Linked DNA regions of Mytilus edulis. The protein of the gene in region 1 binds, or shares a complex with, the protein of each later gene. Links are inferred from orthologs where the notes say so. Each region holds a gene or a part of one and is shown in the gene's direction. Other genes may lie near its edges.

Evidence for each region.
Region 2: N-alpha-acetyltransferase 35, NatC auxiliary subunit-like (region 1) and N-alpha-acetyltransferase 38, NatC auxiliary subunit-like share a complex: the UniProt entries of both Drosophila melanogaster proteins name them as parts of the N-terminal acetyltransferase C (NatC) complex. The link is inferred for Mytilus edulis from reciprocal best matches to the Drosophila melanogaster genes Naa35 and Sbat.

What each region holds. Positions count from the first base shown.
Region 1 is NC_092347.1:909,790-917,309, forward strand, and holds the start of N-alpha-acetyltransferase 35, NatC auxiliary subunit-like, read left to right. Parts: upstream 1-4,439; 5' UTR 4,440-4,727; coding exon 4,728-4,760; intron 4,761-7,144; coding exon 7,145-7,356; intron 7,357-7,520. UniProt on the Drosophila melanogaster protein: Auxillary component of the N-terminal acetyltransferase C (NatC) complex which catalyzes acetylation of N-terminal methionine residues.
Region 2 is NC_092356.1:26,199,789-26,207,345, forward strand, and holds the start of N-alpha-acetyltransferase 38, NatC auxiliary subunit-like, read left to right. Parts: upstream 1-4,526; 5' UTR 4,527-4,591; coding exon 4,592-4,609; intron 4,610-7,557. Other genes in the region: cytochrome b5 domain-containing protein 1-like, read right to left, coding at 1,521-1,751, 2,416-2,634, 3,004-3,080, 4,216-4,336. UniProt on the Drosophila melanogaster protein: Auxiliary component of the N-terminal acetyltransferase C (NatC) complex which catalyzes acetylation of N-terminal methionine residues. May have an accessory function in the survival motor neuron (SMN) complex.

The sequences.
Region 1 (7,520 bases):
ACAAACGGGACGTCACCATCTAAACATGAATTATTAACAATAGGAAAGTAGAAGGGCACCAAGTTTTCATTGTTAGTATTATCTTTATTTAAAGTTAGTTCAGCAGGATACATCTCTTTTATGTACACGGTGTATCGTAGTAGTCTCAGACATAATGAAGTTGTGTCTTAATTCCAGCCTATTTATTTCGAGTTAAGATTAAACATATTGTATCTGAATAAACGCAAATTGGATGAGACATAAATCAAACTGATCACTTATGAAGTTTTTTTCCATAGAACATATTTAACATTACAATACCACATAAGATAATATTGACGGAATGGAAACGGGGAATGTGACGAAGAGACAAAGCGTTTTAAAATACTGAGTTCCAATTTCTCTTTGAAATAGGGGTCCTTCTTCACGGTAACAATGAGCATTGAGACAACTCTCAACAAGAGACCAAATGCCACAAAAATTCACAAGTATAAGTCACCGTACAGCCATCTACAATGAGAAAAGCCCATACGTATAGTCAGCTTAAAGGCCCTGAAATGACCCTAGGGTCGTGGTTTTTCGAGTGATTTGATCGGGCTTTTTCGAGTGTGACCACTTTTTTCGAGTGAATATGAACAAAAATGTAAACAAACAGACTTCATCTCTAACAAAACGTGATATAGACGCTTGTGTTTAATATACAAAGTTATATTATGTATAATAGTATTTGATATAGAAAGATTTTACTAACCCGACATTATTTTTCGTTAAAAAAAGTTAAAATAAGCCTTGAAATGCTTTAATTCCAAAATACAGAATTAAGCCATTTTTATACACATAACACTGATAATGTTGAAGGAAATGCATACAAGGAATCTATATATCCTAAGAAATACAGACACTTTACAAAAATTCTTTTTCTTGCATTGAAAACGACATTTTGAGACTAAATTCATTTATTTATGTTCTGGGTTTTTTCGAGAGCAGTCCGGGCTTTTTCGAGTGTGTCCATTTTTTTTCGAGTGATTATACAAATTGCCTATAGTTTAAAATGCTTTTTGTCAGTGTATTTATGATTAAAAATAATAAACAAAGTTTCAAGTTAAGTACTTTTCCAAGCATGAAGCAATGCATTTGTAACATTGATAATGGTGTTCTAACACTTCCATGTTATAAACATTCGTTCATTTGTATATATTTTGCTGTTAGTCATATTTTATAACTTTCATGTACAGTACATATTCTTGATGTCAACAATATAATGTACGCATACATAATTTGGATTGAGACGTACATACAGATGTTTGTATTCCTGATGAGCTATTCGTTTCATTGTTTATTATGTATAAAATCTAATTCAAATGTTTTTGTGTATTGGAATAAAAATCGAGCGAATTAATTGTGTCTGTGTTTTATTTTTTTTATTTTTCATTCATTTTTTTTTTATGTTGGGGTGGGGGTCAGGCCTCCATTAGCAGAATGTGTTTTATTACATAGAATGTTGATTCGTCTTTGCTGTCCAGTACTGGGGTTTCTTACTCCGTTTTTTTTTTTAATAAACAGCTGCGCCATGGTCGCATGATACACCTGTCACTTTTTCAAAGTTCATTTCTCTTATGCATGGTTGTGTTTTATTATCTATTTCTTGCATGGATAGAAAGTTCTCGTATCATCACTACACAGAGTGTGATATGAAAATACGAAATCTGCGTTAATTTGATCTGCTGGTGTCACACCTCCAATTACTCCCTCCTATGTAGATAGAACCTATGTAAAAGTAGCTCTACTCTGACATAAAATAGGGATTTAGATGTCCTTGCTTACTTAAACTAACCAACAAATTTTCAAAAATCAAACTGTTGGTGAAATAGAAATATATTTAGACCATTTTGAGCCAAAATTTACTTGTCTATAAGTATGATTGCGCTCCACGGTATACTAATTGAAGATTTCGAGAAAACCAAGGGTTATTTTAGGAGTACCTCTTTTCGAAGGTCAGTTTTTTTCTCAGAAGGCTTTAAGGGTATTGGCATGTAGAAAGATGATACATGTACATGGTGTCTAGGAAGTTAAACTTAGGGTAAGATATTCAGAAAGCTGTGAAAATTGCAAAATTTGGTAGAACAGATAGGGAATTTTAATTGGTGGTCTGACACCTTATACATCATCACAAGACGATATTACGGCATTTCCACTGGCTATTCGTCAGGTCATTGATGACCTTCAAAGGTTACGACGATGTGCAAATTGCTAGAACAACGATTCTCGGAATTTTTAGTTTTTATTTACGCTATGAGAGTGTTAACCGTATTAAAGGCTCTATTGAAATTAAATAACTCGAGTTGATAAAAAGCGATCTATCCTCACTCGTTATGACGCCTATAAATAATTTCTCAATTTCAAAAACTTAACTTTTACAACACAGGCGCTTGATAGTGGGTCTTCCAATGGATAGAAACAAGTGCCTGTGTTTTACAATAATCGTCTCGTCTGAAACTACTTGACCAAGTTCATTATAGATAGAGATAACTATAAACAGCAAGAATGTTTAGTAAAATCAGATCTACAAACAAGTCACCATCACCAAAACAGATAATTTTGCCATGAATTCTATTCTTGTCTTTAATGTTGAAGAGTGCCCCTTGTTTGACATGCACTGCAGCAAATAGACTAAGGTGAGTGGCACAGGCTCTTAAGAAACTTTATAATGTTTAATAAAATCCCATAACTCGGAAACGTAAAATCAATAATTTCTAAAAAAAAAACTGAAAGGGATGATAACTCAATAGACAATTCACCAAAGTTTCATGTAAATTGTCACAACGTTTTTGAGTTTTTGTCCGACATGCTGACGATGGACGAATGGACAACGGGGTACCATAATACGTCCCGTATAAAAATTCCATGATTCACCACGAAATTTTTATTTACTTCGACAACAAAAGTACAAAAGTGGAAAGGGATTAATATAAGATGCAATAACTTGTTTCCCAATCAACTATCAATAACTATGTTTAAACTAACAAAAGCACCATGAAATGAAGTTAAAAAGAATATGAGTCTCCTGCACTTTTTTTCTAAATACCTTTTATAAAGGATCTAATAATTTCTAATTTAATACTGGAAAGTTGTGGTACGGAACGATTTCCGAACAGAAAACTTGCATTAAATTAAAAAAGGTTAGTTTTGATCAATGTAGCATTATGTTTTTGAGAATAAATAATATTTTCATTCATTAAATTACAGGCATAAACTAGAGGTGAATACTGACATTTTTGTGCTTTGCAAAGAATATTACCATAAACGATTGGAGGTAAAATACCTGAACGTATAAGATGTCTGCATGTTGAGTTATATTTACGAACTATTTCCTTATACCGATGATAAAATTTAGTAAATGTTTTGACTAGTTTGTGATATCGAAAACCCTGGTGTAATATTTTTTCAGTAGAACAGGGATGTCCTGCTTTCCATTGTATAAAGCACCCTATATTTTTAGATTTTAGTTGTGTACAGTAAATCTTATAATGAAATATTGCCATGATAAGGCCTAAATATTTTTACCTTTTAATTGCGTAAATTATTTATCAGTCGGCTTAAATATTTTAGTTTTTATCCGTGTCCAGTAAATCTAAATTTTTAAAGTTATCAAGTTGTGGAAAACTTTTAGTGCATAGCCACTATATAAGTTTTAATTAACTTCCGTCTGGATTATACCGTTGAGGAGGTGTTCCATTATTGGAAGGATATACATATAGAAGAAGAAGAAGAAGATACGGATTCCCTGTATCTGTCCGAGATTGTATCAACTTTTACATAATCAACATGTCGACTATCGACGAGAAAAACAATTTTGATTCACCTAATTTAAATGAAGATAATTCTTGCAATGAGTAAGCAATAAACGCAAATAACACGCACGACTAATGGTTTATCATGGAAATGCTCATCTGTCCTATATAGAGCTCAAACCATAAAATGAAAAGAATAACAGGAATTCCTAAACCGGCTAAAATTTCATCATAACAAATGGACAAAAATGTCTGTAATGTATGTAAACTCAAAAACTACTCTGAGTACATACCAACCTGTGCATTTGGAAATATCAAAAAGTGGATATTTGCCCACCCAAAATAGATGCGCTGCTTCGTCGCTTCTGGTGCCGACTGACGGCCTTGGAATTATATAAATCGGGCATCAATCTGTGAAAACTGTTAAAATATGGAAAAATAAAAGTTGGCAGGTAGGTGAAACTTACATAAATTAAAAGATAAATGAAAAATGAACAGATTGATGCCCGATTTATATAATTCCAAGGCCGTCAGTCGGCACCAGAAGCGACGAAGCAGCGCATCTATTTTGGGTGGGCAAATATCCACTTTTGATATGGGACGAGCTCTGACGTCTCACGGACCCAGCTTGTCTGGCAAAACAGCCGTTGGATGTCAGAGTAATCTCGGACTAGTTACACACAAACCTAATCCCATTTCAGAATTTCTGTATAGAGATTTTCCGATAATCAACCCCCACAGAATCCCTTATCAAGGTAATTTATTCTTATTATTTTGATATCATTTTCTTCACTACCTTATTATGACTCAATGACCTTTCTCTTACTTAAGAGATGTATGCTGACTGTATTACTGAATCCTGAATCTTTTGTTTACTGACCTCCCACTTTTATTGAAGGAGACCAGAATGTAAATTTTTTATTTTTTTATTTTCAGGAAAAAACACTACATGTCTTCATGTCTTGTGACTATATACATGATATATATACAGTACGGGTAGGGACTTATTTTTATGGATGTCTTAATCCGTCTAGATGTCAGACTGGTCGGACAGTTGTCCCAGTGTAATAAACACCTGCTGTGCAATATCCAAGTGGAAGGTCGTAAATCAATCTGTACCAGCTTGATTAGAATTAAATTTTACCTGTACAGATATATAAGTATTTATGGGGGATAGATCAATGTAAAATATTGTTTTGTATTCAAAGAGAAAGAATAAAAATTAAAATTAAATATAAGAATAAAAATTAAAATTAAATATAATTTTTTTTTTTTTATAATTTGAAAATGAAATAAAGACGATTTTTAACAATATATTGTGTTGCCAATTATTTCAATAGTTTTGTGCCAATACACACCTGTCAATCATTTCTCGCAAGTGAAACATTTTGGTCAGACAGATCACTCGTGCTTTCTATTTTGACATATTTCCCGTTAATCTCTTTGAAAGTCAAACAATTGGTTTCCTTTAATACAATATTTATAACGCCGACATCATATTTCGATTCCTATTTTTTTTAATTTTATTTAAAATTGTTGACACTCGAGATAATATGCCTTTCTATTTTCATGTCTGATGGAAATGGCCGGTGTTATAAATATATTTTACAAGTTGTATCAAATCGATACACGAAAATCAAAGTTTAACCTTATATAGTTTATTGAATAAATGCACATTTATACCCCAATGGGGTTGAAGGCTTGTCGTACTAGTCATGATCAGCTGTCTTTACTTTTTCGTCGTACTTCTAGTCATTCTAAAGCTCGCGCACTCAGTATGATTTTTTAGATCGATGTTGTATTATTTCCGAAGTTTAAAGGAGGTCTCCAAATAGATTATTTAAATGGGAATCCGGGAAATAACTAATAAAAATAAAACAAAAAATAGTTAAAGAAGACTAAATCGTGTTTTGATTATACATGTATGTAAATCGATTAAATTTCTATTCTGGTAAATCGATCAAGAGCCTCAAAACTAAAGCACAATACTGTCAATCATTCCACATCAAATTTAATCATGAATGAATTTTCCCACGGTCAGTAAGGTCACCTGTGTTTACTGTTACGACATTTCCCGCCATATAAAAATCTCGTGCAGTGGACAAAATCGATCTTTAAAGTATCTTTTATTAGCATTCAATATTATTGTGAGTGGAATCAAGTTTAACTTAAAGTTCAACCACCTGCACATGCTGTTGATCACTAATATGTGTATGATGGAATTGTCTTTTCACGGCAATTTTTTCTTTTAGATTGCTATAAAAAATATAACATACAAGTTTCCTCACAAGTTTCCTTTTTTACATGGATTGTGCGTAAATTATATTATGCAACTAAGTTCGGGATTTCGGGATTAACCCTTCGGGAACTGGGAATTTTTTTTCTCGCGATGTCGGGATTTAAATTTATTTAAATTCGGGACCTTCCGACTTCGTGTTTTTAAGCCCGGGATTTCGAGATCCGGACCCCTTTTACCCCCTACCCCCAAATGCAGATCAATTATATTAATTTAGCATAATGAACAAACACGGAAATCTTAAAATAAACTTATGGCCGGGAAGAATCAATATTTTCTTCTAGTGTTATTATTTGCGTTCTATTTTAGTTATACATCTCCAACTTTCGGACAATATTTGTTTACAGTAAAAAGTAAAAACTACAAAGAATCATCAAGCTACTAATAATATACAAGTATTGCTCACTGTAATTATTTTTATCTCGGAACTGACACAACACAGAGTGAGACTGAATATTAAATAAAAATTATAGAAATATTTTGCATGTGACCGGCGGGTCCGCGTCAAACTAAAACGTATGCAGCAGCACTTGAGACAGCATTCTGCTAATCAATGGATTTACGTGGAAAATAAATCGGCAAAATAAAAATAACCGTAAGCTTCAAGAAATAGAATACATGTAAAAATATATATATTTAAAAAATTTATGCAAACAAATAAAAAAAAGATACATAAAAAAAACAAAAACGAAAAGGAACATAAAATAAAAATTATTTTTAGGAACAAAGAAAATAAATAACAGTTGAAATATCAAAACCATAATTAACAAAAATAGGCTATTTTTATTAAACAAAGTTTTCTCCAGTACTTCACCTGTAAAAATATTTTATGTCAAATACGATGTGCAACTAATATATAATCAATAAAGTGACTGAGAGGACAGGTTAAAATTACAGGTAACCTGATTCTGAAATCAGTGAACCGTAATTCTAGCAACACGGATTAAGATGAAAGGACCATTCACACCTGGATCTGTTGATTAATGACCATACTACCTACCATAAAAATGTCCGATTATTCATATCCGACTAGACGGATTAAGACATCCATAAAAATAAGTCCCTACCCGTACTGTAGCTACACTACAAAAGACAACAGACCTTTTACTTACATGACATATCACATGTTTTATTTGCATGTATAAACATTAACTTTTATACTTTAAGAAATAAACAAGAAATGACAATACAACCAGATAATAAAGCAGTTTACCATTGGAGAGATGTCACTTCAGAATTTATTGAAGCAGCAGGAGAACTAGAATTAGGAGAATTGTTACACGATGCCTCGTAAGTAACATTTATCCATTATGTATACATGTGTATTTTTAGACTTGTTTTGTAGCTTTAGTGTTATTTTTTTAACTTAAATTCTTTTTATTTTCACCAAGGTATCTTCTTTTCTGGCTTTTCTTGTAAAGTTAAAATAAGCTTGAAACTTCTTCTCAATAACT
Region 2 (7,557 bases), on another chromosome or scaffold:
CACACATTTTAATTACTTGTATGAGTGGTATCCCTATTTAGAATGTGCCTTGAGGGTTTTATATGTTTTAATGGTATACACCATAGTTTCTTACTTCCTTGTACAATGTAGATAGCATGTTTACTTCAAAAAGGGATTATATGAATTATCTCCCCTTATTCTGGAGAGTTATTTCCCTTTGAAATTCTGTATAGTTATATTTGTTACTTTGTTTAGTCATTTGTGTGTTTAAACCATAGATATTTTATTAGTTGACATGTAAAACATGTTTTAGATGAAGATTTTACACACCAAATGCATTTGTTACAGTATAATACATGCTAACATGTCAATTCCTAGATGTGTTTCATGCAATATTTAAATAAATTTGTTGTCAACAATTTAAATTATTTTCTTCTGCCTTCTACCATGGATTCATGTTTATTATGAGTAATAGGATAACTTTTTATGAGATTCTTGCTTCATCAATTGTTTAAGGTTTTGAAGTCTTTTCAGGTACTATAAGCAATTGGTCATCTAGATTAGGTGCATGGAATCATTGCAAGAAGTAAATGACAGGGTTTATATGATCATGACTTCATTTTTATGGTTCCTAGTTTAGTTTTCATAGCTAGTACTCTGAGATACTACATGTAACTAAACAATAAGTCAACTCAATTCGGTGTATGGAATGATTGTGTACCTGTTTCTCAAGGTTAATCTGACGTTGACCTCATTTTCATAGTTCATTGTTCAAGTTTTCATGGTTGGTATATAATAGAAGATGTGGTATGATTGTCAATGAGACAACTATCCGCAAGAGACCAAATGACACAGAAATTAACAGTTACAGGTCACTGTAAAGCCTTCAACAATGAGCAAAGTAAATCCCAAGCCACATAGTCGGCTACAAAATGCCCCAAAAACTTAGGTCTGCTGATCTAATAAGCAATTGATTAGAAAATTTGGTGTATGAAATGATTATAAGGTGAATATGTCTGTCTGAAAGGTGTCATCAGACCTGAACCTCATTTACTAATATCATTGATTAGGTTAAATTTATATATTTCTAATAACTTTGATCTTAAGAAGTTAAGAGACTTTAATCATAAATTTAAATCATGACTAGTAAATAGATGAGTTATATCAGTGAGGCACTTTTGTTACGCTAGATGTTGATGCAGTTAAAATTAAATAAAATACAAATAATAGTTTTATTTACATGAATAAAGTATATTACAAATCTCTAAACTTCATATAATCTTTTCTCTTTTCACAGGCAGTCCTTATATTTATCATAATTACATGTAGCACTCAAATCTTGTCATATTCTTCAATTCTTTGATAAAGAGCAGATATTCATTTTTATAAATTTTGAAATTTTTTCAATTTTATAACAATCTGTTTGCTAATATTCTCCATAGAGGGAATTTTACCAAAAGTGTAAAAATTTCACAGGATTCAAAGAACTCCTTTGTTTTCACAAAAGGTAAAGAACCTTATGAAAAGTATAATAATTCAACAAATTTCTGTATACAAAGTTATGCCTCGGTTAAATCATCATTGAAATACAAATGGATTGCTTGTAAGAATGTATCATCGTTCATGCTCAGTTTATAAAATTCCTCATCTTCATCTTCGATACCATTTTCTTCTAACGTACTCCCCATCACAAGATTTCGACTGTCATATTTCCATGTATAACTTGCAGCATGTGCATTGTATTTCAGGTACCTTTCTAAAATTTCTGTCATAATCTCTTCCGAGCAAACCTGAAAAAAACCACATTGATATTATTAAGGAAAAAGGAAAAATACCCAGGAATGTTTAAAAATCAATTGTAGAGAGAAACTGACAGAGCCACATGTGGCAAATACAAAAGACAGTGAAAAGACAAAAAATTCAATGTAAAATTCATAGAAAACTGAAGACTGAGCAACATAAATTCTGACAAAAACAGGGGATAATAACAACCGAAACAAAACACTAGACTAAAGAAAGAAAAAACTAATTACATTACCCCCCCCCCCCCTAGAAATACAGATGAACTAGGGTGCACCAGAAAGTTTGGCAGTTACTGATCTAATAATGACACTATCATATAGAACTCCTAATGTGATCTGAGCATGAGTGACAAAAATACAATTAACTGTTTTACATCTCCTTTTATAGAAAAGGAAATAAAACCTTTCATCAGAATCAATTCATGTTCATCGGGCTATTCAAATTATAGCAAAGAGAAATATATATATACCATTGAATAAATAAAATAGCTACAGCATAGTTCTCTCACTTCTCTGTTCATGTGGAGTTCAAAGAGTGAGTCATCAGGAACTTTAAACTCTTTAAAAAAATCATTTTTATTTCATTTGGCTGTACAAAAACTAGTAGTTTTTGAAAAAAATATATAAAATACAAAATAAGATTAACCTTTACCTCAATAACATGGTCCTGTGATGTGAGTGTGTTGATTATTTTGACTTTTCTTGTTTTCTGTGACAGAATTCCTACAAGATAACTGTCATCTTTCCACCAAGGCCTTCCAAAGTCATTGGCCCAAAAAGAATCTGGATAAGGTGGTGGTATATGTACAAATCTGCCATTAGGACAGTATGGTATTTCACACCCTGTTTGTGGATCTACATGTGTACGGATCTGAAATGTATACATTGGTTTCAATGAAGTATTGTGGCTTCCTTATTGAATAAAAACCAATATTTCACATGTGACAAAAATTCTGTAAATTTACCCCTCCAGATCTAGACAGGGTCAGTAATTTTGCATCTAAAACAAATATGCATTATGAAAGGATTACTTTGAAATAATTGTATTAACATTTTTCATGTAAGAGACGATAAATTCTAATTTCAAGAAAATCAATATTTTCTGAGAATATGATTTTGAAGTGATTGAAAAGTTTCAACCATTATGTTTTCTATGTTTTATTGGAAATTCAATCCTGGTATCATACATGTATTTTAACATAAATTTGTACATGTATCTGGTGTAAACAAAGAAACTTACATCTTTTGTCTTAGGATTAAACCAATGTGATATATCACCACCAGCTGCTTGAATAATGGGCTTCAGTAAAACATCTCCTGTTAAAATATTAGATAGAATGATGAAAAGGTCAGAATAGGATTATATTAAGAAAGAAGTTCAATACAAATCATGATGGTCATTAAAAAGTTACCAATATTACACGGCACTAGCTAAATGTACATTTAATTTAGGTAAAGAAAATATAAACAAGTAATATGTACAATTACAAAAATATATAAACAATGATAAAACAACTAAGCCAGAACTAATATGTAAAAGCTCAAAATGCCCTCCCATGTGCCCAAGTTTAACTTGAATTTAACCCTTCCCCCTTTTTTACAGGATTCAATTGAAGCTCCATCCTAAATTTTTAGTGTTGTATATTGCAAGTTTCGTCTTTTTTTCCTTTTGGTCCTGATTTTGCATCAACAGCGAGATAAATTTGTATGTACACACCACAAATAATTGTATAAACTTCTCATTTTAAATCACAAAAACATACATGTACCATCTGGTTATCATATAAATTTAAAAGGGTACCTTCATGACCAATAAAGGTAAAAAAATTGCCAATTACATTAATAGGCAGCAATATTTGGTGCATGAGCATAAAATGTACATGTACACTTTTTTTTTTATGAAAAAAAAAATTGAGTGATTTAATAGGGTACCTTCATGACCAAAAAAGGTAAAAAAAAAAATGCCAAATTACATTAATAGGCAGCAATACTTGGTGCATGACCATAAAATGTACGCTTATAAGATAAATAAAAAGCTGCTGAACCAACGCCTCTTATGTTTTGTGCTGGTAGAGTTCCCTTATAAGATAAAAAAAAATTGAGTGATTTTGACGTATCACATTAATTTAAAAATAAACAACAACAGTAATGACAATTATTTGAGACGTCTGAGGTAACACGATAACGATATGACACCTCACACTAACCAATTGGAAGCTAACAGTAGGAGTACATGACCATTTGAGTCTGACGTGAAAGGGCATTCCTAATCCTACCCTCATTTATTATATTCATTAAAATGCGATTTTGATTAGTTAGTAAGAGGGAGATAATTAAGAAATGGTTAGCAATACGATTTCTATATTACCTTTGATGTATGAGGCTTCTGGTTTATTTATTTTGTATGTGTTGTTATCATTTTTTTTACAGTGACACTGGTTTATTTCTATACCTTTGTATTTTTCGCAAAGTGGAGTAAGATTGTACACTTTTCCAAGGAATGATACCCATAAATCGTCAACAGTGTTATGAACGGCAACTTCTTTTGGTGTAAAATACTTTGGCCGTCCCATTTTCTCTCAAAATTGATTCAGGAAACTGGGGTTGCTAACGTCAACAAGTAAACCGGAAGTTAAAGGGCTGCTTTTACAAAACGAAAAAAAAAAATTTGCCAAAGCTTTCGGTACACTGAATCATTTGTAGTTTAAAAATCATGCTGAAAATAAAATTCTTTTATAGTATTATAATTTTGATAATTTGTGAAAATTTTAAGTCACATTCTCAGAAAGAAAAACACTTTCGTTTTGTAAAAATCACTATTTTCCAAAATGGCCGGCGAAGTGATGGTAAATTTCGTCCAAATATAATTTAAACGAATCAAGCCATATTTTACAAATAAACCCACAAAAAAATTTCAATTATGTACAAAAAAATGTTCTTCTATCTACAAATTGAAATAGTTTTTCTCATATGTGTGTCTTTTACCACAAATCCGCTGAAAGTAATTAAAGTTACCAGTTCATCTCAGACCATGTCAATTTGCAATTCGTTCCAACTGATTTAGTTTATTTTTAATCAGACTAAATAATTTGTTCCACCTCTACAAAAGACTCATCAGTGATGCTCGAATCAATTTTTTTTTAAAAGGCAAAGATTTAAGAGGGCTTAAAGGGAGGGTATCTGCACAGAAGAATGCGAAATAAAATTACCATCATGATGAACGAACAATGAACAACTGCTGTTGTCTATTCTATGGTTGGGTTGTTGTCTCTTTGACACATTCCCCATTTCCATTCTCAATTTTTATTAAAAATTTCCTGCACATGGATCTGTTAACCGATATCACGAAACACAGTGAATAACAAACCTTTTTCTCGGATGCACGTGAAATAAAAATGACAAAACACGTTGTACGAAAATAACCCTCATTTAACCATATATATTTTGAAATAATATACAATAGTTAAATAAATAAAATTCAGTAAGGTCAAAACCGTTAATTGAATTAAAAAGGAATAGATTATGGGCACATTATATTTGTGTCATTTTTTTTTTACTAAATCCATGCAACAAGGTTTTATTTTATTTGTGCCTCAGAGCTGGAACGAATCATCCAGATACCTTGCCAAGTTCACTTTATATGCCTTAGGCCACAATTAAAAATAGTTTGGTTTGCCCAAACCCTACCCAAGGTTTATAAACCATATAAATATTTTTAAATAAGTTTTTGTATACATTCACAAAAATTAAAGTAATTAGGTTATTTTCATAGTTAACACTGTCCTTGAATCAGAATGATCAGTTGAAACGAACTGACCTGTTCTTGAAAAAAGTTGGAACCTATGACCAAGCAACTTGGGACAAAGTGGTTGGTACAAATCAGAGTTGGAACGAATCATCCAGATACCTTGCCAAGTTCACTTTATATGCCTTAGGCCACAATTAAAAATAGTTTGGTTTGCCCAAACCCTACCCAAGGTTGAGACAGTGGGTAGGTAGGTAGGCGTTTTCTTTTTTTTTTTCAAAAAAAGAAATTGAAGCATCGGGTGTTTATTAGTCTTCATGCCTATCTGATTAAAAAAAAACTTCTTCAAATCAGGACAATAAAAGAATTTGAGTAGGCAGCTTTTTTCTGGGCAGGTAGGGTTTGGGCAAACAAACCTATTCTTTTTTATGGCCTTATAATTATAAACTGTTATATTACATGTACATGAGGGTAGGAATCAGGGATCTCCATGGATGAAAATTGAACGATTGAGGAACTTTCACCATTACAAACCGTGTCTACGCTGTACAGTGTAGCGCGATCGGAAGTATTTTATCCCTCCATACAAGGAATGGTGAACATGCTAATTCATTGCTTATTTAAATTATATTTATTTGAATTTTCATTATAGAATTAGAAGTACTTATATTTTTTGCTGTTTTTAACCATTTAATGCCAAGTCTTCATGGTTCCCCCTTAGTCGAGAATGATAAAAAGCTGTCATGAAGGTCCCCATGTAGATTTTTTGTATTTTTGGTAATTGTTATGGGGGTTAAAAATCATATGATGTGGAGCTTATTTTTCATGGACACTGTCAAATTCAGAACCTGTTACCGGTATGTCTGATTTGCAGCAACAACAAAACGATTCGTACGGGTTATGTAAAAGGTTAAAGAGATTTGTAAAGCAAACTTTGACAAATAAAAGGTTTTTAATGACTTTATCTGGCAAATTGATTCTGTGCAACATGCATCTTTCGAGTCTGAATAGAAACCGGAAACGCGTATGTATCAATTTGATTTTATTGAACCTATATGCTGAGAGTACCATGAGAGTGCGCATGCCGGTCATAGAGGTCACTGCGTAAATAGGTCTAAAGAGGTCAAATCATGGATTTAATCCTCCGTTAAATTCGTAGAAAATATTGGATATAAAAGTTGATTTTTAATGGATATTATGATTTTCGTAATTTAAGGAATACGATCTTTAAATTGATACATAGTTTTGGATTTTATCTATTCTCGATGTGTTTTGATTGTGATGGATAACTTTGTCACGTTGTCGCCAATGTAACTTTAACATAATGGCAACGAAATGAATTCGGAATTACGATACGATATTTCTTTACAGGAAATATTTAAGTTTTTACTTTTAAACTTTAAAAGGAATTCTAAATTATCGTTACAGCAGTACTCAGAGTTATTTGCGATGAAATAATATTTAATGTTTTGCGTCTTATTTTGTACTTCTTAAAAAAGGGGGATGCTGATTGCGTAAGTCAAAATAAAGCACGTGTTCGACTTGTTAAACTTTTTTCTTTGTTACTGGATTATTAATTTATTTATTTAGGCCACACCAATTTAATTCCTTGTTCGACGGACCGCTCGCACCGATTTTTTTTTAAAACAGAATTTTTTTATTTTTTTTAAATTCCCGCTTCCCGCATCCGGAAATGTAATCGTGTCCATTTACCGCACCGTTTTTTTGTTGTAAATATTGTAAACAGATATTTGCACTTGGTTTTATAATCACAATCTAACCTGTATTTATAACGATTTTAAAGATAGAAACACACAAGTTCGCTGTGTCAATGTCTGTGATAATATTTGATTCAGCATGAAACCCTTTTATTCCAAATGGGAGTGCTCAGATATAAATATATAACAGAGGAAAATACCTGTACAGAACAAAACATTGGTTTCTTTCCCCCGTACTTATATTCCCTATCAAAATATGTTCGTTGTTAGTAATAAACTTCAAAGAACTTCAGGAAGAAATGCCTTCAACTGCAATTATATTGTATGCTGG